Linked DNA regions of Arabidopsis thaliana. The protein of the gene in region 1 interacts with the protein of each later gene in a pairwise test. Each region holds a gene or a part of one and is shown on either strand. Other genes may lie near its edges.

Evidence for each region. Proteins that work in one complex are often made in the same cells at the same time.
Region 2: the proteins of NAC3 (region 1) and IDD1 interact in a two-hybrid assay, tested with the Arabidopsis thaliana proteins (one large-scale study listed by BioGRID).
Region 3: the proteins of NAC3 (region 1) and AT4G39820 interact in a two-hybrid assay, tested with the Arabidopsis thaliana proteins (one large-scale study listed by BioGRID).

The regions. Positions count from the first base shown.
Region 1 is NC_003074.8:11,030,063-11,037,573, reverse strand, and holds NAC3 (NAC domain containing protein 3), read right to left. Parts: upstream 3,910-7,511; 5' UTR 3,736-3,909; coding exon 3,525-3,735; intron 3,446-3,524; coding exon 3,168-3,445; intron 3,036-3,167; coding exon 2,568-3,035; 3' UTR 2,266-2,567; downstream 1-2,265. Other genes in the region: AT3G29040 (cysteine-rich repeat secretory protein, putative (DUF26)), read right to left, coding at 1-113; AT3G29034 (uncharacterized protein), read left to right, coding at 6,971-7,231. UniProt on the Arabidopsis thaliana protein: Transcription activator that binds to DNA in promoters of target genes on a specific bipartite motif 5'-[AG]CGT[AG](4-5n)[AG][CT]ACGCAA-3'.
Region 2 is NC_003076.8:26,639,882-26,649,042, forward strand, and holds IDD1 (C2H2-like zinc finger protein), read right to left. Parts: upstream 4,858-9,161; 5' UTR 4,003-4,857; coding exon 3,879-4,002; intron 3,788-3,878; coding exon 3,391-3,787; intron 3,307-3,390; coding exon 3,032-3,306; intron 2,740-3,031; coding exon 2,033-2,739; 3' UTR 1,705-2,032; downstream 1-1,704. Other genes in the region: AT5G66720 (Protein phosphatase 2C family protein), read right to left, coding at 1-98, 168-664; AT5G66740 (spindle assembly abnormal protein (DUF620)), read left to right, coding at 7,233-7,520, 7,768-8,109, 8,195-8,677. UniProt on the Arabidopsis thaliana protein: Transcription factor promoting the transition to germination by regulating light and hormonal signaling during seed maturation. Acts as a positive regulator of phytochrome and/or gibberellin action.
Region 3 is NC_003075.7:18,474,254-18,482,284, forward strand, and holds AT4G39820 (Tetratricopeptide repeat (TPR)-like superfamily protein), read right to left. Parts: upstream 3,808-8,031; 5' UTR 3,729-3,807; coding exon 2,445-3,728; 3' UTR 2,444-2,444; intron 2,196-2,443; 3' UTR 1,705-2,195; downstream 1-1,704. Other genes in the region: AT4G39810 (Polynucleotidyl transferase, ribonuclease H-like superfamily protein), read right to left, coding at 355-447, 541-666, 771-834, 917-963, 1,045-1,482; AT4G39830 (Cupredoxin superfamily protein), read left to right, coding at 4,850-5,143, 5,209-5,301, 5,380-5,592, 5,687-5,881, 5,978-6,931.

The DNA.
Region 1 (7,511 bases):
CCTTGTGTGTTGTTGCATTGGTGGTTCAAATACTCATTCGTAACGTTTTGGGAAGAAACTATGCGTATAAGGAGGAGTTGCATGGCCACCATGGCCAATATATTTGAAGACATTGTTTGGGTTTTCTTTCCTTTTTTTTTTATAACCTTTTTATGAGATGAATTGTCAGGAGTTCGAATGTTTATATAGGAGAGTTGATGATGAGGGATTTGGATCTTAAGTGGAGCTGATACTTTTTTAATAATTTGATAACTATTAGTATACAAATTCGATTGATCATTTCATTACTATATATAACACATATTCTATATTAGTCTGTCTGTGAGAGAGAAGAGAGAAGTTGGACGTTGAGACTTGGTATTTGCGCCGAGAAGAGAGGGCCGATAAAATGGTCACACGACACGAACGGTGTCAACCTGAAATGAAGGTAGTCTTAGTATATTATGTAATAACAAGAATTCTTTTTTCCTCAAAATAGGTAGATTGAAGATATTGTCTCACATTGGAACAGTGCCCTGCTGAGATTTCGGGCAAAAAAAAATATGTTCCAATTTGTCTAGTTAAATAATTAAATAATAAATTAAAGAAAACTAAATTATATATACATATATAAGAAGAAATTTTAAAATATAAAAATAAAGCATAACAAAAACAATACAAAACCAAATGTTCAAATTATATATTGGAATAAATGTCACTAAAATAGATTGAATTTGAAGCATAAAGAATATTTGAGTCAGCTCAAACCAACCAAAGTAACACAATTTTCTTGGAATTGTGGCCTAAAAAAATGGTTTATGGTTAGTGGCCGGCACGGCTTTGCATGGAAGTTGAGTACGATTTGCACTGGAAGTTGAGTACAATTTTAAAAAGTATATATAAGAGATGGATTTCTCTATTTATTGCCAATTAGTTTTGAGTTGGAAGCCTACAATCTAATAAAATATCATACCACGATCTGCACATGCTCAACCCAATCCACATCAGCTCAATCAGTAGTTGACCCGCTGATCAATGTCTGAACATATCGAGATGAATGGCCAGAAGAACCATTATCTCGAAGAGACGTATTAGAGATATTGTCCCACATTGAAAATTGAGTAGAATCTTAAATAGTATATATAAGATATGAGTCTCTCCACTCAATTTGATTTCAAGTTGGAAATCCACAGATTAATAATAATTTTCACCGGAAATAAAAACTTATTTAAATCTCAAAATTGACTTGGGAAATATGCTTTGTTGATAAGAGTGGGTTGATACCATTACATATAAACTACTCAAACTAGTAATAATTTCTGTAGAGTAGGAGACTTTGGAGTTGAGATTAATTGCTCCTATTAAATATATATATATATATATATATATATATATATATATATATATATATATATATATGAATACAATTTTTTATATTGAAAGCTTGAAGGCAATTGGCATAAGAAAAAGAGGTTTTGACCCTCTATTATTGAGAGTTATTGAGATTACAATTCGAGAAATGGTATTTATCCGTGTCTTCCCTTAGAAATGTCTTTTGGCAATTATCATAAAGAGATAGACTTGGAATTATAATTGTATAGCAAATCAAAAATGACTAGGATATACAAAGATGACTAAATTATATATTCGAAAATGTGAATGATTGATTTGCTTATGAAATGAGTAAGTTCTTCTCGGGATTGTGAATGAAAAAACAAAGCCCATTTTGACATATAATAAAAGCCCATTAATATTTAGGTCAAAAAAGCCCAAAATATCAACAAACACATGATTAGGGTTTTACTAGTTTATATATAAGCTTGTTTATCACACCGATAGTTTCTAAAAGACAATACACACTTATGTTCTTCCGCCGTTTCTATCTTCTTCGTTATTTTCGTTTTTTTTTTTTGTGAGTATCAAAGGCTGTTTATGATTGCACAAGTACTGGGACATCCCTGTAAAAACAATTGGGGAATCTGTCTAATAATTTTATGTGCATATATCAAAATTAGGGATCCGCTTTGCAGCTTATGACCCGACCCGAATCAGTTTCGGTTTTTTTTTCGTGTCTCTGCTGCCAGTAATCTCCTGAAATTCACTTTTCATCATGAAGCCTTATTGTTTCACTTGTTTAGTTTTTATTCTGTTTATCAGAAGTTTTATTAAGATCTCAGTTTTTTTCAACTTAATATTTTCTACTTGAGACAACCATTTGCAGCCTTTTGATTTTGATTAAGAACCCAAAATGTAACAAGTAAAATTTGGTAAACTAGTCATATTTTTAATCTAATATTATCTACTTAGGTATGTTACAATCATTAATTACAAACAGGGAAATAATGAGAATATGCAAACACAATTCAGCATGACAATTTATGAACACCTTAAATATGCAAACACAATGGATTTCAAATGGCAAGAGAGTATTCACTACAATGATTTTTTTTTACAAAATGTTATAAGAATCTATTAGTGTCATCTTTGTATATCCTAGAATCTAAAGCTAACACATAACGCATATATACACTGTTTTTAAAAACCCTATATACCCCCTAGTTAACATCCAAATTTTCGATTTTCCAAATTCAGAATTTCCAAACGCAATCAAGATTCACTGGACCAGTGGAACCATAAGAATTGTGACCTTGCCAAGAACTCGCTGTTAGTTCACTCTCTGATGAACCTGAATTGTGAAGATTCTTCTTAAATTGGGTTTCTTCATTGTCAAGCAACATCTTCAGTACTGAAGAATTGTTTTGTAGAAACAGAGGATCGAAGTCTAGTAGAGAACCTATGTTTGGTAAAAAGTTAGTCGATCCGGAACCAAACATGGTAGTTTTAAAATCGGCCACAAGACTCTTGTCATCGGTTGTTTGGTCGGAGAAGTAGGTAACGTGAGACAACAACCCACCAAGGGTGGTCCCGGCTAAAGAGTCTTGTCCTCTACTCTTTAGATATGGAGAAGAATCCATCAGCGGAGGTAAACCAACGGACATATGCTCCTTCGTACCATCAGTCCGTGTATGAAAAACACGACTAATAACACATTCGTTCTGCATCCACAAACAACACAAGAAAACATTATAAATCAATATACATATTACCTTTGGCTTTGCATAAAAAAAACATCATGTCACAACAAAAACAGAGAAGAACTATGATATATATTAATATATTAATGTTACCTTAGCGGTTTTAGAGAGATTATCGATAGCGAATTTGCCTTCTAATCGATACTCATGCATGACCCAATTTGTTTTTACTCCTTTAGGAGCTCTTCCTTTGTAGAAAACCAATGTTTTCTTCATACCAACAAGAGATTTCCCTTTGAAGATCTCTTTATCTTTCCCTGTAGCTTTCCAATAACCGGCTTTAGTAGCACGATTCGTTCTTAAACCAGTCGGGTATTTTCGGTCTCTTACGCAAAAGAAGTACCACTCTTTTTCCCCAAGCTTAGCCTTCCCTAAAAAAAAACAGTGTTTAGAAGTAACAAAACATAGAAGGTTTTTAAAAACCTAGAAAATAAATGACCTATAACTTACAAGGCAAGTCCCAAGGCTCGACTTTGTTGAGATCAACTTCACCAATAGCTATAGCAGAGAAAAAAGAGTTTACAACCTTTGGTCTTAGATAGTGTGTTATAAGTTCTTCATCAGTTGGGTGAAATCTGAAACCAGGTGGTAAATCAATCTTTTCTGAATCTTCTACTTCTCCTTCTACTATCTCCCCACTTCTTGATACCTTGTAATCCATTTCAGCGATTAGATATAATCAAAACTTTTTCAACTTGTAGTGGCCAAATTTTTTGTTTAATGGTTGTAAAGATATCGAAAAAGTTTTTTGATGTTAAAGATAAAGAAAAAAAGTTGAGTTTCTTTTCAGAGAGAAGAGAAAATGGTTTGAGCAACCAAGCTCTTATACTAGTTTGTATAAGATGAAGAACAAATATTATTATAGTTTTTATTCACCAATAATTGGTCACTGTTTGGTATCAAAATATTATTTTCTAAAATGTATTTTAATTAGATTATCCGAAGGAAAATATAATAATATGTCAGTTTTATAATTAAGTATATATATACAATCTGATGTAGACCTGAACCAACCATAATGTATCAAGGTTCCAAAAAAATATTATAAATTTTGATTTGGTTTATTTTGTATTTGGTTTCTATTACAAAGATGCGTAACTCAATAGGATACTTATTAAGATGTTATTATGAAGATATTTTCTTATGATATAATTATTTTTTATTTTTATTTAAAAAGATTTGATATAATTATTAAATCTTTCTGTTTCAAAAACTTTAATATTCTCCAAGTTTCAATTTGACCAGAAACATTTCACTTGTGGTTTCCCATCCATTCTGTTGATGCGATAAGACGATCTTATCACATCACTGATGACGCTTTTGTCCATTCCTTAAACTAATTATTTAGAATTTCATAAGAAGAAAATATAAAGCTTTTTATATGACTTTATCCATTGAAACCATTTTTAGTTCTATATTGGGCAATGGGCAAGAGCTTGAGCTTTCAAGCAATTGAGGTTTCTAACTTAAGAAAAGTACTATAACTATAACTAGAGCAACACATTGTGGCTTAGCTCCTGACTTGTCCAGATATAATTCTACGTCTAGAGTTTAAACTCTATATCATGTATGTTCAAGATTGTTATAATTGTCGATCAATCTATAACACATCGATAGAAGAAAGAGTAGAATTTTACGTCTAGATTGTTGTAACGTAGTAGTAAACACGATTTTTATAATTACAAGAATCTCATCTAATCTATTTATTTTAGTAAAAATTGTGTGGATTTACATGCATAAATTAATTGTTCTCTCTTCTATATTACTACTTATATTGAAATATAGTGGTGTATAAGGAAAATTTAAATAAATTGATTTGGTCATATATGTTATTAAAATGCACTATTTTTTTTTTTTGATTAAAAATCTAAAGAAAACTCTAAAGTTAAGCGCATTTAAAGTAAAGCAAACTTATGATGGGTGATTAACCGTGAATCGATTGTTAGTTCGTATGAGTGAAAACAAACACAAGAAAAAGATTATATGGTGAATTATAGAATCAGTAAACAAATATTTAAGCTTCCAGAAAAATGAACTGTCAGACGAGATTGGCCCATATACCGAGAAAAAACGTTTGGTCCATGAAAAGTGGTGGTCGTCGTCTCGTTACAGTTACGATGGATGATTTCTATGGATCTGAATGGTCACCGCGGTTTTTAGTGTACGGAGAAAGTATTATGACCGTGCAGTACGAATTAACTGCGGTAAGTGCGTGAAAAATATATTTGTGGGACAATTGTGGTTTGTACAAAATAAGCAGTACGGAATAATGTTTGATTGGTGAAAAATCTATTTGTGGTGCGGATTATAGATTATATATATATAAATATATATATTAATCATTATTTATTTTTTGTGTTAATAAATAAACAATAACATATATTTATAAACCATATACACAAATAAATCAAAATATACATTTTAAAGTTTAACATACATATTATTAAATCCGTTGAATAGTTTCATTATGGAAAATTAAAAAAAAAATCATTTTTACAAGTAATTTTTTTACAAGTAAATTGATTATAGAACGTATATAAGCTTATAGTAGATAATAATTGTCAAAATTTCTAAAAGCATTGTTATGTTTCTATTTCCTGTAATTGCATTTTCATAGTTTTTAATTAAATAAAACAAACTAGCTAAGACTGGTCTTTATCTCTTTCTTTGTACCCGGTTTATCCGGTTTAGTTTCCTCTATTATTGAAATCAACATTGGCACAAAAATAATAATATAAACAGCTGTTAAAAAATTAATTGATCTCTTTGTTGGAATGCACTTTTACTTAAAACCGCTAGGTAAAGAGTTTTTCTTCTTTTGGAAAGCGTTCCAATGTATTGTTCATTTGACAAATTAAATCGCAAACTTTTTTTTTTTCGAAAAACACAAATCAGTTAAAAGTATTGTGATTGGTACGGTATTGTGGTTTTAATCAAAAAAACACAGAAAAAAACGCCTTTTGTAAGTTTTCCAATTAGTCTATGTGTCAAGGTACATCTTTTATTTTTATTTTTTAAAGGTACATCTTTATATCTATAAGGGGTTCAGTTTTCTTGCATGCGTTATTCGTACTCCTATAAAACTCCATCATAGGTAAGTAAACAAAACTAAGAAAAGATCTAAGCTCTAAGCTCTGCGTACTTTCCTTCGCTTTATCTTGCCAGTAGCACTAGGCATTTGAAACTATGGAATAAAGCCGTTTTGATCCAACTTAGCAGCAACCAAATTGCAAACGAATAGAAAGAATGGTCAGAAACAAGATTGGTAGGTGGATCCAAGATAGCAAAAATATCTCTTCCTACTCAAGATGCAACAGATAAAAACAAACTTTTGAACCAAGAAAAGTCAATATTATACATTTATTAAGAAATCGAAGAGCAAGAATGCATCTCATTCTCATCCTTTGTGATGTTCTTGGAGTGCACAAGCATTTATTGGGCCAAAACTCCTACGCACATGATAACATGTCTTAGTAGATTTCTTATTGATAATACATGATAACATATCTTATTGTTAATAATATTAATTTAATTCACTGACCTGTTAAAATTTAGACAGAATGGCAATAACTTATATAGTGATAATTATTATTTTTTTATTTTATTTTTTAGACTAACATTATATAAGTGTAAACATGATACATCATATCTAAACTTCAACTCTCACCATTTGCTTTTTTATAACAAAATAGTAATTAAATTAATAATCTTGGATCTATACCGACCACTTACTCTTCTATAAGGAGTTGACTTTTCTGTCTATCAAAAGGCCTCAAAGCAATCCCCAAAAGACCACATTTTTGTCTCCATCATTAACTTATAATTACAAAATCACAACCAAACCAACATCATAAAATCATAATCAGAATCTCTTCATTCATCAAAGAATCTTAAAAATGGTGAGAGAAAGAAGAAAGACGGAGAAAGTAGAAGAGAAACGAGAACAAGAAGTTGTAGATCAAGAAGAGAAGGTGAAGCCGAGGCAAAGAAGCGTGAGCAGAAGAAACATGCAATCTCTGGTCATCGGACTCGTTGGAGGTGCGTTAACCCTCGGTGCTTATTCTCAGACATATGTTGATCCGGGCAAGTCTATTGGCGCTGGCCTCTTTGTCCTCTTCTTTGGCTTGCTTGTCAGTGAAGGTTTCATCTCTCTTTAAATAACAATATTTCTGTATAAGCAAATCAAACCTTCTTCTTTTGTTTATGTATATGACAAATATACATATCTATGAGCATCTTGTTTCATTTATATTTTATTTCACTTGTTGGATCTTGGACTTTTGATTAAAGTGACGAACACTATATTGTTTTTACGGATTATTGTTTATTTTTGGCTTGTAAGAATATGTTTTGATCTTTGATACAAATTTGAAAGAAAAGGATGCAACAATGTAATTTTGATCCTTGATAATATGTATGTCACGCAAGTAATATGAA
Region 2 (9,161 bases), on another chromosome or scaffold:
CTTGTTCTTCATCGCAGATAAAGTGAGCGTCTTCTCCACCTGTAGCTTCCTTTTCAGGATGCGGGAGATAACATGACCCCGACACTAGCCTAAGACTCCTACTCAAAATATCAAAACATTGAAACCAATTGGTAACAAAAAGATTAAGAAAGTGTAAAAGAACTTACTTAAGAGATGTAGTAGTAGTTGGTGGTGACTCTTGAGAACCACCGTTAAGAGAAGACAGCTCATGAGCCGGTCCAACCGAGAAACAAGCCATAGGAGAAGTATGAACACTCTTAGACAATGTCCCAAAGAGTGCACGACTCTTTTCTAGCGGATCAACAACAGAATAGTGACAAACCAATCGGTTCTTCATCATTCCCCCTCTCTTCCCAAGTCTCATGCTAGCTACAGGACAATTAATAGTGAAGCTACCACCACTAGAACGCTTCTTAGTGAAGTCTAAGCCATTTGAACAAGTAGTAACCAAATCATCCAAACAAGCGTCTCCAAACACTGGCAAAGAACCAGAAGCAGCCATGGCTTGACGAAACCGAGAACTATCAGAAAACAATCTCCTTTGACCCGAATTGGAGAAGAAGCTCTTACTTTTCCCAGCAACGATTCTTTGAAACCCAAATTGAGAAACTGGGTTTAATCTCGAGAGAGCAGTCGCTGACATCTGAATCAATAATAATCAATAAAAGGAAAGATTTTTACCAAAACTGAACAAAGCTACACCAAAATCAACAGACTATAAAACGAGCCCTTAATCATTACCCACTTCAAATACTTGAGATAAGAGATAAACTATTACCGGATTCTTCACTAGTCAGGGCTTTTTCCGTCTTCTTCTTCGCCGGAATTAGGTTAGAGAAGAGAGGAAGGAATATATAAAGATCTCTTGTTTCCGCTACCTACCTGCAGCTGCGAGCTCCTCCGTAAAACTCATTAGCCGATGAGGGCAAAATCGGAAACTTAACTTGTTTCTTCGTGTTCAGTTTTCGATGTCTGAAATTTCTCAGCGAAATTAAAAAATACTAAGAGATAATAATTTAATGGTCTTGGACTTGACATTTAAGGCCCAATAGTATTAAGCTTGTGGACTTGAGTAGTCTTCAGCATAATGACTAATGAGCTTAAAATATCAATGGCCTATTAAGAAAGAAACATTTCACAATCAACCCCAATAGGCTTCTCTCTTCTTGCTTACTGTACACAACCAATTTTATTTTCTTAATATTGAAAACTACACGATCATTGCTCGAGTCCAAGCATATCAATATTGATCAAATGATAAAGTCACACTAATCATAGTTACTGATTTCTGTTAAACTTCCGATTTTGTAATACAGTAAATATGATGTGGGTAAATAAATTATCTTGCTCTCCAAAATAAAATACAAAATAGTGCCTTTGTGGGTTGAATTGTCATGATAATTCTATCACTATAATGGACCTACGTAGCGATTGAAACATCAAAATCCAAAATCTTTGGTCGATTCTCCAATCAAATCACACTGGTCAAGTCTCAAATTATCTGGCCAAATTGAGACTATTTTTAGTTCTGCAAGTTTTTAGACAAATATCACCACCTTCCAAAAAATTTATCACTTTTGGGAGAAGTCAATTCAATCTCATCTACGAATTGTTCCCATTAATGCAAAAATTCGATTCAGCGTTTTAAGACAGCAAGCAACACCCAATAATAGAAACTTCAAACCCCATTGATTGTTTTCACATGGTAGAGACTTCCATCAGAACTAGACCAAGATTTGTAACCATCTGTAATAATTTAGCTGTCATGTCACAACCCGAGTTCAAATTATCTCTCAAAGTACAACATGTGAGTTATAATAAACCACACACCAAAAAAAAAACAATATATTTTGTTGTTGTTGCTAGGAGATTTATGTACTTGAGAGAAAACCCACTTGGGAATAAAACTAAAGCTTTCACTAAAACAAGATACCAAAACATCTAAAACCTGAAACAAACTTGATGAACTATATACTACACTGGTCTACTACGTTCATGCCTTTTGTCTCTCTTACGAACTTCTTCCAATGTCTTTGCCTGAAAACTCCCCTGATCCAAACAGATCGATTCCACCTCCACCACCTATAGAAGTTAACAGAGCAGACAATCCACCTCCGGTATTACCACCATTACCAACAGCTCTTCCTAATCCAAGAAAGTCTAGTGTCGTCTGTTTCGGACCAAACACCGATGAATTCCCCATCATGAGCTCTTTTAGACCCGATCCGCTACCACCGCTGCTACAAGGTAGTCCAAGTCCAAGACCAGGAGCTAATGACAATGCATCATGATTGCTGAGTTCCATAGATGAAGAAGTAGTTGAAACTATGCCTAACCCGCGAAGCAACGAACCTCCTGATCCCGTGGAACCCATTTGTGCAGCTTTTTGGAGCAATGCAGTAGCTGACATTGCCGGTTGAGGAGGGAGAGGAGTTAGGAAATGTGGCGGATCTCGTATTGTTGGTCCGAACAAAGAAGGGTTCGTCGAGAGACAGAGAGAGATGGGTTCCATGGAGGACGATGGTGCGAATAGACTTGGAGAAGCGGTTGAGGAAGCATATAAACTAGGCGAAGCTGTTGATGATACAAACAAACCTGCGTATCCACCATTGTTGTTACTGTGATCATTGCTTAGATCCGATGAGCTAACATTGAACCCGATCGTTCTTGAAGCTTCCTCAATAATGACTTCAGGATGATTGTTGTTTTCTTGAGATTCTACAAACAAAAAGAGATGATGAGTCATGGACATAAACTTTGAGGCTTTAATTATAATTAATGGATACATTATAGGCTTAGCTATGGAAGACGACGAACACGATTCAGTTTTTTAGCAGACATCAGAAATATAACGGCGCTACAGACAAAACCAACTAAACTCCAAGTTCACCGACCAGTTTACAGTTGGATTATTTTAAAGAGTTCTTGTTTCGGTTAGAGAATTGATAAATTGTTACATGTAGCGATTTTGCCACATTTTGCCATCAAACAGAGAGTTTGTATTATGTACCTGGAGAATTCTGAATCGGCAAAACAGAGGAAGATATGATTTTGACAGACTCAGTCTCAACCGAAATAGCCGGTGCCGGAGCTATAGCAACCGATGGCGGAGAAGAAGGCGGTAATGACGGAGAAGACTCAACAGCTGCTGGAGATTTTTGCTCAATTTCAGGATTCTTCCTAGTGACAGTTTCTGGATAAAGTTTCTTGCTTTGAGTATGATTCTTCGCACTCTCTTCAGCCAAGGCATCACAAAAGGCTCTATGCGTTATAAAGCTATCTCTCCTGCAACAAAACCCAATCCACAAGTTAGTAAAATCCATAAGAAAGATCAAACCTTTGAATATGTTTATAACAATTTGTCGCCACCTAGAAAACAGAGTTCCACAATCGCATTTATACTCCTTGGTGCCACAAATCTTCGAATGAGCTTTCCAATCTGATTGAACAGCATACTTCTTAGAACATTTCTCACACTTCCATTTCTTCTCGCCGTGTTTCCGACAAAAGTGTTTCTTGATTCCAGTAAGATCTCCAAGAGCACGTGAAGGGTCATGATGAACACAGCCAGAAACAGGACAAACATAAACCTTCTTCCTCACTTCTTTAGTCGATCTCTGTCGAAGTTTCCATGGAAGATTGTGACCACGACGATGAAGCTGAAGATTCTGGTCACGTTGAAAACCTTTGTTACAGATTTCGCAAACGAATCGATTCGTTGCCATAAGTGTTTTAGGTGACAAAGCTATCACTTCAGCGTCTGGATCTGAATTTAGACAATCAGTGAGAACAACTAAAAACAGAAAATTTCAAACTCAAAAAACAGAAAAAAAAAAGTTTGGATTTTTGAGAAGTACCAGGCATTCCAGGAAGATTCCGTTTCTTCTTCCCGACGGATTTAGGAGTTAGATTTTGGTTTCCGGTCGATGAGACGCTTGCATCGCCGGAAACTGTAGAGGAATTATCTAAATCAACCGGCATGTTTCAAAGATACTAAATTCCAATCTTTGAACACAAAAAGGAAGAAGCAAATCTCAGCTCAGCTCAATCTAGGGTTTATCATCCTCCTCCTACTCTGTTTAGTCTCTCTTTCTCTCTCTCTTCTTCAGCTACCAGTCAATCTGCTTTTCGTAAAAATCTCCTTTTCCCCTTTCCGCCACCAAACTTTTCTGATAACTCACTCTCTGACCTCTCTTCTTCAAAAAGATTTAAAACCCCCAAAAGAAAAAGAAAAAAAATCAAAACTTCATTACCCAAGAAATCTCTTAATCATTTAACCCAGACTCTCTCTTCTCCACACGCATCTTTTATCCACCGTCCACCGATCTGATCCAACGGCTGAGATTTCACCGGAGACGAGTTATCCTTACTACTTCCGGCTTGTTTCTCTCTGAAGAATCACCGGAAAAAAAAATAAGGCGGCTTGTGTGTGAGACTTTGTGTGAAAGCTTCAACCTTTTTTTTCTTTTTCTTTGGCTTGTCCAAGAAAAAGGAGCCTTCTTCTTCTTTTCTCTCTCTGGAGACAATTATACTAATTTTTTTCTCTCAACTTTTCACCCTTTTTTTTTTGTTAACAAACATTTTTTATACATAATTGTGTCGACTTTCAAGTTCCAAGTATCTAAATCTGTATTTTGGACTCCCATGCAAATAATTAAAATAGAATAATCTTTTTGTAGATTTTAAATTGAAAACGGTGTAGAAAGGTTAAAAGCACCAAACAAAACGAGTAAATAGATATTGTAATAATTTTTTCACCTTTATGGAAAAGATTATATCATAGACGATGTACACAGATGAAAATTAGAAAATGGCATGTGAATATATGCAGTACCCAATGAATGCAATATCAGGTTTGTATTATTTTTCTATTGTATCTCTACATGTTACGTAATCAAACGATCAAGTAATTTATTAATATTGTCGATGGCGTAGAAATTATAAATTTATTTTATGTCATTGTTTACTATATAGATTTTGAGCTAAACGACTTATTTTGTCAAAAGATATATCCGTGTTTGGTTTAAGATTGGGTTTTAGTATTTCCAATATTAATCTAAATTCTTAGCTTATGAACATGTCAATAAACAAAAAAATTATTTTACTGTCACTGTCCTTAGACGGGGACAAAGGAGGGTATTACCGTCGCGTTGTCGGACCGTAAAATAATTAACCAAATTTTGTTGTTGAACGAATAACATTTTTTACTGTGGGAATTTGTCGTGTAGCATTACGTTCGAAATCGCAATTTGTTTTCTTCTTTGTGGGTGTATATTTCTGGTTAACGAAACTATAACCCAATTTAATGCAATGTTCGTCTGTTTTTGTTGACTTTGACCCTTTTTTGGTAATATTCGTTCAGCTTTTGTTTTAACGTTTTCATTGCCTTGTAGGCATCTGAGAAGCTCAGATTCTGACACGTGTCTTTTGTTATCTGAATTTGCATCCGTTGGATAAACATGACGCTGACAGGTGGATTGAAAAGTAACCAGCTTGGATTTCTGTGTATATGTTACACCGCCACTTCCCTTAATTTCTTCGTTCTTAGTTAAAATAAAAAAGGTTTAATTTATGAGTAAAAGTATGTAAAACGACAACGATTACTATAAGAATTAAAATTTATCTTTGCTTAGTAATTTGCACTTAAGATTGGATTCAAATTTTGTAAAAAGCGAATGTTACATATATGTCCATTGAAAAAATTGCATTTGACTTTACAAGCATTGAAATTAATTAATTTGGGACCCCTTTTTTTGTTAGTTTCAAAGGAAGAATTATTTTAGGCTGAGATGGGTCCCTCCATAAACTCACTATTCTGCCAGCATACAAATTCCTTAACATATGGTCCAAATAGCAGTTCCAACCACTAGTATCCAATAATAATCTGAACAAATTATCTTTCTTTTTTTTTCCTGATAATCTTGTATTTGTTTGTTCAATGAGCTTAATACGTATATTAGTTATGACTTATAACTAAATACTTTGACTCACTTGATCCGTACACATTGATTTCGTTTATTCAAATCCGAACAACGTAATGATCTTTTTGGGCCGAGTTATTTGTATTCTCAACCTGAGTCCAACCATGCTTTATGGGCTTTTCTGTTTATTTATGCATGTAAAGTTTATAATGCTTGCAAATAACCACATATTGTATGAATGTAATTACTATGATTTAAGGGCACTGCTTTTCTGTTTTCACGTTGTTTTCGAAATTGCTATTGCGTGTGATATCTGTGTTGGACCAATTATTGAAAAGGACAAGGCTGACTCTGGTTTTTAATGAGTAGTCCCCATGGGAGTTATGTTCATTTACCACACATTTTTTTGTATAGTATAGTATGAGTTTTTATTTGATATCTTTTATCTTCGGAAAATAAATGGTTCAAATTGTTTGTCTAAAAATGCACACATGAATATCTTGTGGTCTCACACAATTGTAGGAAACAAATTAATATTTGTTGCGAAAATAATGTTATTATTTTATCATACGAAATCCTAGAGAAAATGGTGGCAAAAGAGGCAAAGACTAAACTAATGAATTTAAAATATGAAAATGATGGAATGACTGGTTTACCAATATTACAGTATATTGTAATTTTATAAAAACGAATCCTGAAGAAGAGGGCAAACCCCAAGACCACGCAAATCAGTCTACAAATATGAAAATTTCCAATAACTAGAAAAACATGTGCATTTATCTTTTTCCATCATTCGGATTTTTACAATGGAAATTTTGACCACTGAGCGCAAGTGTTATAGTATTTTATTATTATCCAATATTAATATCATTATTCGGATCCATGCATTCTATATAACTATGTCCACCATCTTACTTGTGTCTATGTTGCAACTTCAACGTCGTATATATATAGGGATTGTTGTCACGAATACAATGCTAATTAAGGAAGATTGTGACTTCTCGGAAAATTTAGAACTAATTAAGAGTGGAACTAAAATGCCAATGAAAATAGCCTAAATCAAAGGAGAACCACAAATATAAATTGGAAGACCTTAAAAAACAATTAAACGAGGACGAAACAAATTTTGGAATCATCAATTATACGAAAAAAAGAAGAAAGAAAAAAGAGGTTTCATGAATCACAGTAGTGCTGACAATCTTCGAACCATTTGTGGGTTTCATACAATCGATCACCAATAGAACAAAAGAGAAACAGAGGAACAGAAAGAATAGAAGGAGTGGGAAGTGTATGAGGAAGCTGTGTCCGAACATAGACAAAGACGATGGTCTGGAGACGGTGTTGGAAGTTCCGATACCGGAGGAGATGTTTTCCGGTATGGGCAACAACGTTGCACTTAGGTGGCAAAATATGATGACGTGGATGAAAGCTCAAACGTCTGATAAATGGTCGCAACCGCTTATCGCCGCTCGTATCAACGAGCTCCGGTTCCTTCTCTACCTCGTTGGCTCGCCTCTTATACCTCTCCAGGTTCAAGTCGGTCACTCTGTTCATAAGCCCGTCAAAGATTGCTCCATTGTAAGTCATTCAAAATCAATCCTTATGAAAACATAACAAAGATGTTGAAAATATGATTCCTCTTTTTTTTTTCTTTTTTTCTTTTATGATCAAAACCCAAAAAAGTCATTACCCTGCTTCGTAAGTATTCAACATAAAGTTGTTAATCCATGTGTTGTACTCTGCAAGTCTGCATTACATTATTCATCGTACACAGAGTCATCAACTTCAGTTTCATTGTTTTTTTGCTTATGAATTACGATTGCAGCAAGCTTCAACGGCGAAATACATTGTACAGCAGTACATAGCAGCGACGGGAGGACCACAGGCGTTAAACGCCGTGAACAGCATGTGCGTCACGGGACAAGTGAAGATGACGGCGTCGGAGTTTCATCAAGGAGATGATTCGGGCGTTAATCTAAAGAGCAACGACGAAATGGGTGGTTTCGTTTTATGGCAAAAGGATCCAGATCTTTGGTGTTTGGAGCTCGTCGTCTCCGGTTGCAAAGTGATATGTGGAAGCAACGGTCGGCTTTCATGGCGACATTCCTCTAACCAGCAAACTCCGGCGTCTACCGGAACGCCAAGACCTCTCCGCCGGTTTTTACAGGTCCAATCCGGTTATTGATTTTTTTTTTGATGTAATGTCCGGTTCTCAAAATGTTGAACCGGTGGTTTATTTATTGTTTGAGCAGGGGTTAGATCCTCGTTCGACGGCGAATCTGTTTCTTGACGCAACGTGTATCGGAGAGAAGATAATCAACGGTGAGGATTGCTTTATCTTGAAACTGGAGACGAGTCCGGCGGTTCGAGAAGCTCAAAGCGGTCCGAATTTTGAGATAATTCATCACACGATATGGGGTTATTTTAGTCAAAGATCGGGACTTTTGATTCAGTTCGAAGATTCGCGGCTTTTGAGAATGAGGACCAAGGAAGACGAAGATGTCTTCTGGGAGACTAGTGCTGAGTCGGTGATGGATGATTACCGATACGTTGACAATGTGAACATCGCTCACGGCGGGAAAACATCGGTCACGGTTTTCCGGTACGGTGAAGCGTCGGCGAATCATCGGAGACAGATGACGGAGAAGTGGAGGATAGAAGAAGTTGATTTTAATGTTTGGGGTCTCTCCGTTGATCATTTTCTTCCTCCGGCCAATTTGCAGATCGAAAAATGATTTAGCTTTTTATTAAAAATATTGTTATTCGTTTTTAGCCGATATCATAACTTTTTGAGATACATTATCAACACACTCGTGCAACTGAGATATTCTTGACACAATTTTTGCATTTGAAATTGGCAATTTTGTACTACTCATATAGTTTGAAGCTTCAATTCACTACAAAGGTTATTACTAATTGTGTCGACAAATCCAGCAGATTTAATAATGCCCATTCCATTAAATGTTTTTTAGTTTAATAATAGGATGATCATATGACCAAAATCGTAAATAAGGGTTAGGGGTAAACCTGTCATTTCAAGCTTCCCGCCCATGGGCGCTACTCCCAATTTAATAAAAAATAAGAAAATAGGCGTAAATATGAGAGTGTGTTTTTTCAATATACCCTCGGTTTTGAATTTGCTCTCAAAAGCGACGGAGACGACTGTTTGGCTCGGTGATTTCTCCCGCCGTTTGGGTTTTTCTTACCGGAATTTCCTTC
Region 3 (8,031 bases), on another chromosome or scaffold:
ACAAACTTTTACGTTGAAATATTTAATTATAAAATAAGATCAAGAGCTTATCCAAAACTAAATAGAAATGAATAAATACGACAAAAATATTAAAAACTATTACGTTGAAATATTAATAAGTCGTAGATAATACGACAAAAGAAAATATATTTAAAGATGACAAACAATACCAATGTGATGTATTCATAAAAGTTTGAGGTAAAAATCAGATAAAAAGTTGTTAGTGACAAAATATAAACAATATCAATTGAATTATTTGGTAATAGAGTCAATGAAGGTATAAATATTATATACAATTAAATTCATTCTTCAAACTATTTATAAAAAAATTAACATTTAGGAGGGATGCAGTAATCATCTAAGCAAAGAATGAGAATGATTGATCAAGCTTTGGAGAGTTTGATTGCCTTGAGCTTTGCTTAACAGATTCTTCACATTTTGTGTCATCTGTATTAAACAAAAACATTTAAAAGAAAGACAAAATTTAACGGCAATTTAAATTCTTTATGATTTGAAGAGAGGGGAAAAAAACACAATTACCTTCTCGAGACTACCCTTCGAGTAAGGCATTGCCCTTTGGGCTATTTGGTAATTCCTTCGACTTCTTGTCATAATCTTAGAAGAAGTGTGCCATTTTCCTTCCAAATGATTGGGAAGTGTAGATTCCTGTATATTTAGGTGATATATAAACACATATACAAATGAGTTAATTTGTATATTTGAAATAAAAATCTTGAAAGAAAAAAAAGAATTATGAGTATACGACATACCAAGAAAAGCACTGTTGCACAATGCTTGAGGACCTCTAAATTCATTCGAACATCATCGAGACTCCTGCAATTATATGACATATGTGCGTTATTTCACCTTAAGGAAAACGTAACAGTAATAGATACAAACATATATGATTAGGTACCTGTGCTTTTGAACTCCAAGACCAAAATAGGCAGCCAAACTTGCCATCTACAAAATAGTGCACAATGACCTTCAATATATAAATTCCTAAGATTTCTAATGCTTACAAAGAATCTTGGATAATGGTACCTTCATGTTACCAGCTCTTTTGCCAAACTTGTCACTTAATAACCCCAAAGAATCAATGATCCCTGAGGGTTCAGGCGCAGCTTTACCGATCTCAGCGAAAGCTTCTTTGATCCTAACGCAATCAAATCTTCTAATGTTATGACCTGCCCAAATCCTACCGTTCAACAAACCATGGATTTTCTCAGCCACGTCTTCAAAACTTGGTGCGTTCGTAACCTTAGCCCTGGTGATCCCATCTGACCTAGACGACCTTATTGAGACCACCGACAAGTCTTTAGGTTGTATAAGCGTTGTGAAGCTCTCTAGCTCCTCGAGTTTTTTTGGACATACGATGATCGCCCCAAACTCTAGTATGTGAAAATGTTGCCCTGCTTTGTTTGGTACGTTTGTTTCTAGATCGAAGAAGACGATTTCGTTGGGAAATGTTTGGACCGCCATATCAGATTTTGGTTTATGTTCGGTTTGTTAATCCTGTGAGTAGGTATGTGTATATATTGTGGATTTGGGGTTTGCGTTTTCTTGTGATAAAAGTTAAGCGTAGATTTGTGTTGGAGGGTTACTGTGGGGATTATTTAGCTTCGCGGAGAAAATTTTGCTCTGTAGGGTAAAGTAAGAATCTTTACTTTGCTTTTTCCAAACCAATAAAAAAGGGTTGTTATATGAAAGAATTCGTTGGTAGATTCATGTTCTACGAGAATTGATTCCTTTGATATTGTCATAAAGATATACAAGGAATCTGAAAGCTGAAAGGGAAAATTTCTCTCAAAAACTGGTAATATCCCAAATTATTGATCCTTATATGATCCTCTCAACGGGAATATTCAACTCAAAATACATGGCTTTAAATATTTGATTTACCCAAAATCTCTGTGCATAGGAAGAGTTGCAAGAACACACATTCTTCATTAGTGGTTAACGGCAAATGCAAAAAAACGTTATAAGAAGATGAATATGAGAAAACGAATGCAGGAAGTTACCAAGTGTTTGGGGGCAACAAACCATTTGCTAGCTTACACAACAGAAAACTACAACGAATTTGAAGCCGGTAATTGCAACAACAGAGTCTCCAGCTGAGGCCAAACCCACCAAGATTTGTTTCATCATTGAAGACATAAACTCTTTGACTAATTACCTTTGTTTGGAATGAAAACCTGCAATTTTGAATGCTAGATGATCAATTTGCATACCTCCAATGGAAATTATATGAAACCAAAACAGAGAACAAGAAGTTTAGGGCGCTAGAGAATATCATCTCTCTTATCTACCTAACCAGATTGTTTCATATTCTTAAGACTTCACAATTTATCGAAGTCATCATAACATCACCAATCAGTTCTTAGACATGCCAAAACCTAAAAAAGGGAAAAATTCAAGAATGAAACAAGAACAGAGACAATACCTCAAACTCTGGTACAAGATGAATCAAAGTCATCAGGAGCAACACGTGCAATCCAATTGTTTAACGTCCGCTTAACATCAGTATGATTAACATAAGCCAACTCATACATACTACACAAATTCACCACCAAGCTCTCGTTCAAAGCCGCGGTTGGCACTCTCTCCAATGCACTTTCCATCACCTTAATCGCATCCGATAGATCTCTCAAGTACATCAAACAAAGAGCCTTATTGTTGACAGCGATAATATCAGAGTTATCCCTTTCAATGCATTTGTCATACTCTCTCACAGCAGAAACATAGTCCTTTGCCACAACATAAACCAAAGCCTTATTCCTACCAACAAGATTGTTGAACTGTATCTCGTTCAATAAACCATTGCTCTTTCCTTCATTCAACATCTTCTCAACTCTATCAAACGTAGTTTTAGCTCCTTCTACATCACCAAACTGCATCTGAACAGACCCTAGTTTCGAAATCAAAACCGGGTCTAACGGATCACGATTGATCAATTCCTTCATCAAATCCAAAGACACCCCAAATTCCTTGTGACCTAAATGAAACCCTAGCAAGCAATTCATCACAAATGTCTCTCTTTTCTTCCACAATTCCACAGAACTCTCTAAACTCTGAGATTCTTTCTCTCTGATTCGATCTCGAACAAAGTCAAGCAAAACATATAAACGATCTAACCCTTCCTGACGATTACCAAGCTTAGTCGGGATCAAAGCGTAGAGCCATCGTAAAGAGAAAGGAACCATAGATCCTCTCCGATTAGGGTAAATCTCAGGGAACGATTCGTACCTGTAATGCGTCCCGTCGAAATCGTGCAAGGAATTAAGCTCATGAGAAGCTTCATCGGAGCGACGAAGCTTCGCGAGAGCCATAACTTGGTAAGTGAGATAAGTGAGATGCTCGTGAGGCTTTGTGAGGAGGAAGAGAGCTCTGGCTTGAGATATCTTCTCGAGGATCGCTTGCCATGAGCCACGGGTCGAAAGCTCGTGGAGCGAGCCGAGATCGTGTGTTAATTCGTCGAGCGAATTGAATCGTTCCGGTGGTAGATCGGCGACGGATGTGACTTGGGATGAGGCTAATTCGAATGCCGTCGGTTCCCCTGCATCGGTTGACTCTGCCATGGCGGTGGAATCAGTGGAGGAGGGATTGAATTCGGGTCGGGTTTCGGATTCGGGTAAATCCGGATCCATTGCTGGAGATGACTCCGTGAACATTGTGGAAGTAACCTGGTTTGGTCTTTGGATTTGGGTCGTCTTTCCAATAGATACCATTACGCTAAATTCTTCTTTTTGGCATAAAAATTTAGATTATTTTTTATTAAAAAAAAACATTTGATATGATTATGATTTTAGGCGGTTTATTAAGATTTTTTTATAATTAGATCAAAAATAATTAGATCAAATACTAAAATTGGAGGAGAATCCAAACTTTGGATTTCATATATTTTATTTTTTAATTCACTAGAAATGAAACAATAATTAAATCCAAAATTACAATTAACTTGTCTCGGATCGATTGATCAATGTTGATTTTTTGTCTTATGACTTTTCTTCGTGTAACGAAAGGAGTTACTTAAATGGTGGAGTAATGGTAATAAATACCATGTTATAATATTGTTACATACTGATAATATTATTTTCCCCATGTTACATGTTACATCATTGATTTTTACGTAGATATTTAATATAACGACCAAAAAAAATTAAGCTCTGACTTGGTCCAAGAGATTTTTTCTCGATTCTTACCATTGACCCTGAGCTAAGACTTGACCAAATTAAAAGTCTATGTGGAATGTACTGCAATAAGTAAGTCTTTTTAATTAACTAAAGAATTTCAGACCTAACCCCATATTTTTTTCGGATAAGGGGTATGAACATGTAAATTATTCAATTTTCTATTGTAGGTATTTAAATTCGAGATTTTTAAAAAATGAAATGAGTGACTAACTAGCTAGTTCAAACCGTAAAACCTATTATTCATTTAATGATTTGATTAAGTATTTTGTTTTAACAATAGTTTAGGCTTTAAAAATCTTACAATCAAACATCAAAATATAATGTGGTTTTACTACGGAAAAAGGAAAAGCAGTGTAGAAGCATCGAACATACTTGACTTTTATGACTTACAAAACACATGAGGTACACAGAATCATATACTACAATTTTACTTTGCTAATAAAAGTCGATGTATTATTATTAGAAATTATCACTAAATCGTAGAAAAGTGAAACGCGTTTTCTCTCCAGTTTTTCTCCAAAAGACAAATGAGTTATCTGTAAACACATGACATGCAATGATCTATCGTTATGTATATATGAATTGATTAATCTCGAACTATATATTGAAATCTCAGCTTCTTATCTTCTTTGATTCTTGGAGACACGATTGGAAAAATGATGAGACCGAAGAGATCATCAGACACAGTCCATGTCTTCAATCTTATGGTCCTCTGTTTCATTGCCCTGTTTTTTTCTTCCGTCCTCTGTCAGGGAAAGATCCGGAGATTCAAATGGGAAGTGAAGTACGAGTTCAAGTCACCGGATTGTTTCGAGAAGCTAGTAATCACAATCAATGGTAAGTTTCCAGGTCCCACCATTAAAGCTCAACAAGGTGACACCATCGTTGTCGAGCTCAAGAATAGCTTCATGACTGAAAATGTCGCTGTCCATTGGCATGGAATCCGACAGGTACGTAAACATCCTCGTAAGCACTCGGTGAATGACTGAAAAAGATTGATTTATATATGTTTCAGATTGGGACTCCATGGTTCGATGGAGTAGAAGGTGTTACTCAATGTCCAATTCTTCCTGGAGAAGTCTTCATTTACCAATTTGTCGTTGATAGGGTAAAGAGTTATAAAACTCACATTAAAGTTTCAATCTTTCTTTATGTTTTTATGTTAAGTTTTGAAATTTGTTTGTAGCCTGGTACATACATGTATCATTCACACTATGGGATGCAGAGAGAGTCTGGATTAATCGGAATGATTCAAGTTTCTCCTCCGGCCACAGAGCCCGAACCGTTTACATACGATTATGACCGGAACTTTTTGTTAACTGATTGGTATCACAAAAGTATGTCAGAGAAAGCCACCGGTTTAGCATCCATACCCTTCAAGTGGGTCGGTGAGCCACAAGTGAGTTCTTTTTTCCATCACTCAAAAGTCAGATTCTTGTTTGATCGATCAAATTTTATGTTTATGGATGATTCTTATTTGGATATATTATCAGTCGCTTATGATACAAGGAAGAGGAAGATTCAACTGCTCAAACAACCTAACCACTCCTCCAAGCTTAGTGTCTGGAGTATGTAACGTCTCAAACGCTGATTGTTCGCGTTTTATTCTTACGGTGATTCCCGGAAAGACATACAGGCTTCGAATAGGTAGCTTGACGGCTCTCTCTGCTCTCAGTTTCCAAATCGAGGTACTTAGCTTGAGAATCAAGCCAATCATTTTCATTGTCTTCTCTGTTTCTTTCTTTTTCGTATTCTAATGGAAGATGGGTTAAATTAAACAACAGGGACATAATTTGACAGTTGTTGAAGCAGACGGACACTACGTAGAACCATTCACGGTGAAGAATCTCTTTGTATACTCCGGCGAAACTTATTCCGTACTTCTCAAGGCAGATCAAAACCCTCGACGAAACTATTGGATCACCTCAAGCATAGTTAGCCGTCCGGCGACAACTCCACCGGCAACCGCTGTACTCAACTACTACCCGAACCACCCACGACGGCGTCCTCCCACGTCGGAATCATCCAATATCGTACCGGAATGGAACGACACGCGCTCCCGTCTTGCACAAAGCCTAGCAATCAAGGCGCGTCGAGGATTCATTCACGCGCTGCCGGAGAATTCTGACAAAGTCATTGTGCTTCTGAATACACAAAACGAAGTCAACGGATACAGACGTTGGTCGGTCAACAACGTTTCCTATCACCACCCTAAAACGCCGTACCTAATCGCGTTAAAGCAAAACCTCACAAACGCGTTTGACTGGCGTTTCACGGCACCGGAGAACTACGATTCTCGAAATTACGACATATTCGCGAAACCCCTTAACGCTAACGCGACGACGAGCGATGGAATCTACAGATTGAGATTCAATTCAACCGTGGACGTGATTTTACAAAACGCGAATACAATGAACGCAAACAACAGTGAAACGCACCCGTGGCATTTACACGGTCATGATTTTTGGGTGCTTGGGTACGGAGAAGGAAAGTTTAATGAGTCGGAGGATCCGAAAAGGTATAACCGGGTCGACCCGATAAAGAAAAACACGGTTGCGGTTCAACCGTTTGGCTGGACGGCGTTGCGTTTTAGAGCGGATAATCCTGGCGTTTGGTCGTTTCACTGCCACATTGAATCGCATTTTTTCATGGGAATGGGGATTGTGTTCGAGTCTGGGATTGATAAGGTTTCTAGTTTACCTTCTTCTATAATGGGATGTGGTCAGACTAAACGCTGATTATATTGTTTAATCAAATTCGAGTAGAAAATATTCATTGTTTAATCATTGAGACACCTGTTTTTTTTTTAGCCAATGAGACACCTGTTTTATTTAATGTAAGTAATGTTAGATAACAAGGTGGATATTTTGCTATAATTTATGTGTCACAAATTTAGCAATGGTTTGGTTTACCTACGTTATGAAAACTCGTTGTGATTGGACCGGGGACAGATTGTGGATAATTCACATTCAATTTGTTAACTGAATCATATGATCACTTTATTTGTTTCTGGTCTTATGTAAAACAGTAAAAGTAAAACCAATCAATGAGTTCTTCAAACAAAAAGAAACAAAAAAACAATCATTGAATATTTAATCTTTCAATACTTCTATTGAGTTAAAAGACTAGGACATGAACACACTAACACTAGATACTATAATATTCTATTCCCTTGTTTTAGTGCTATTTTTAGGAATTTCTCATATTTATAAGCTTCTGTACTTGTTGTATTTGTGTCTATAATTTTCGTGCTTTGTTCATTTCTTATTAATATTTTATTATTAAAAAAAAAGATTCAAAGTTTCAAAGAAGAATTATTATTTTTTTTGGTCAGAAAGAATGTTATGTGTTTAGTAAAAATTCTATTCAGAATATTAAATAGTAATTTTGGACGTCAATTGGTATTTGTAAATAGATATATATACACATTATAAATTAATAAATAAAATACACTAATTTTAGTTTTCTTATAAACTAATAGAAACAAAGAAAAAGCCAAATATATAGAAAATTGACAACAGAAAAAAAAAGTTACACTAAAGAATTAAAAGATTACTACTACTCTATTCTCAAATTTATAGATTGAAAACAATTGATGATATTTAAACATCAATAATTCAATAAGTTTTGACTTTGCTGGATCTACTATATAATTTTCATTTTTCATAGTAAAAAAAAAAAGATTAGAAAATTGTCTAAATTGAAACTCACCAATTAAAGAAAACAATCAAACAGAGCATCATAGTGTAAAACAGAGCGTAGAGTGATGTCAAAAACAAGAAGAAAAAAAACAACAATCGTCAACCATATCCACTAACGCTGTTGCCTGTTGCTGCTT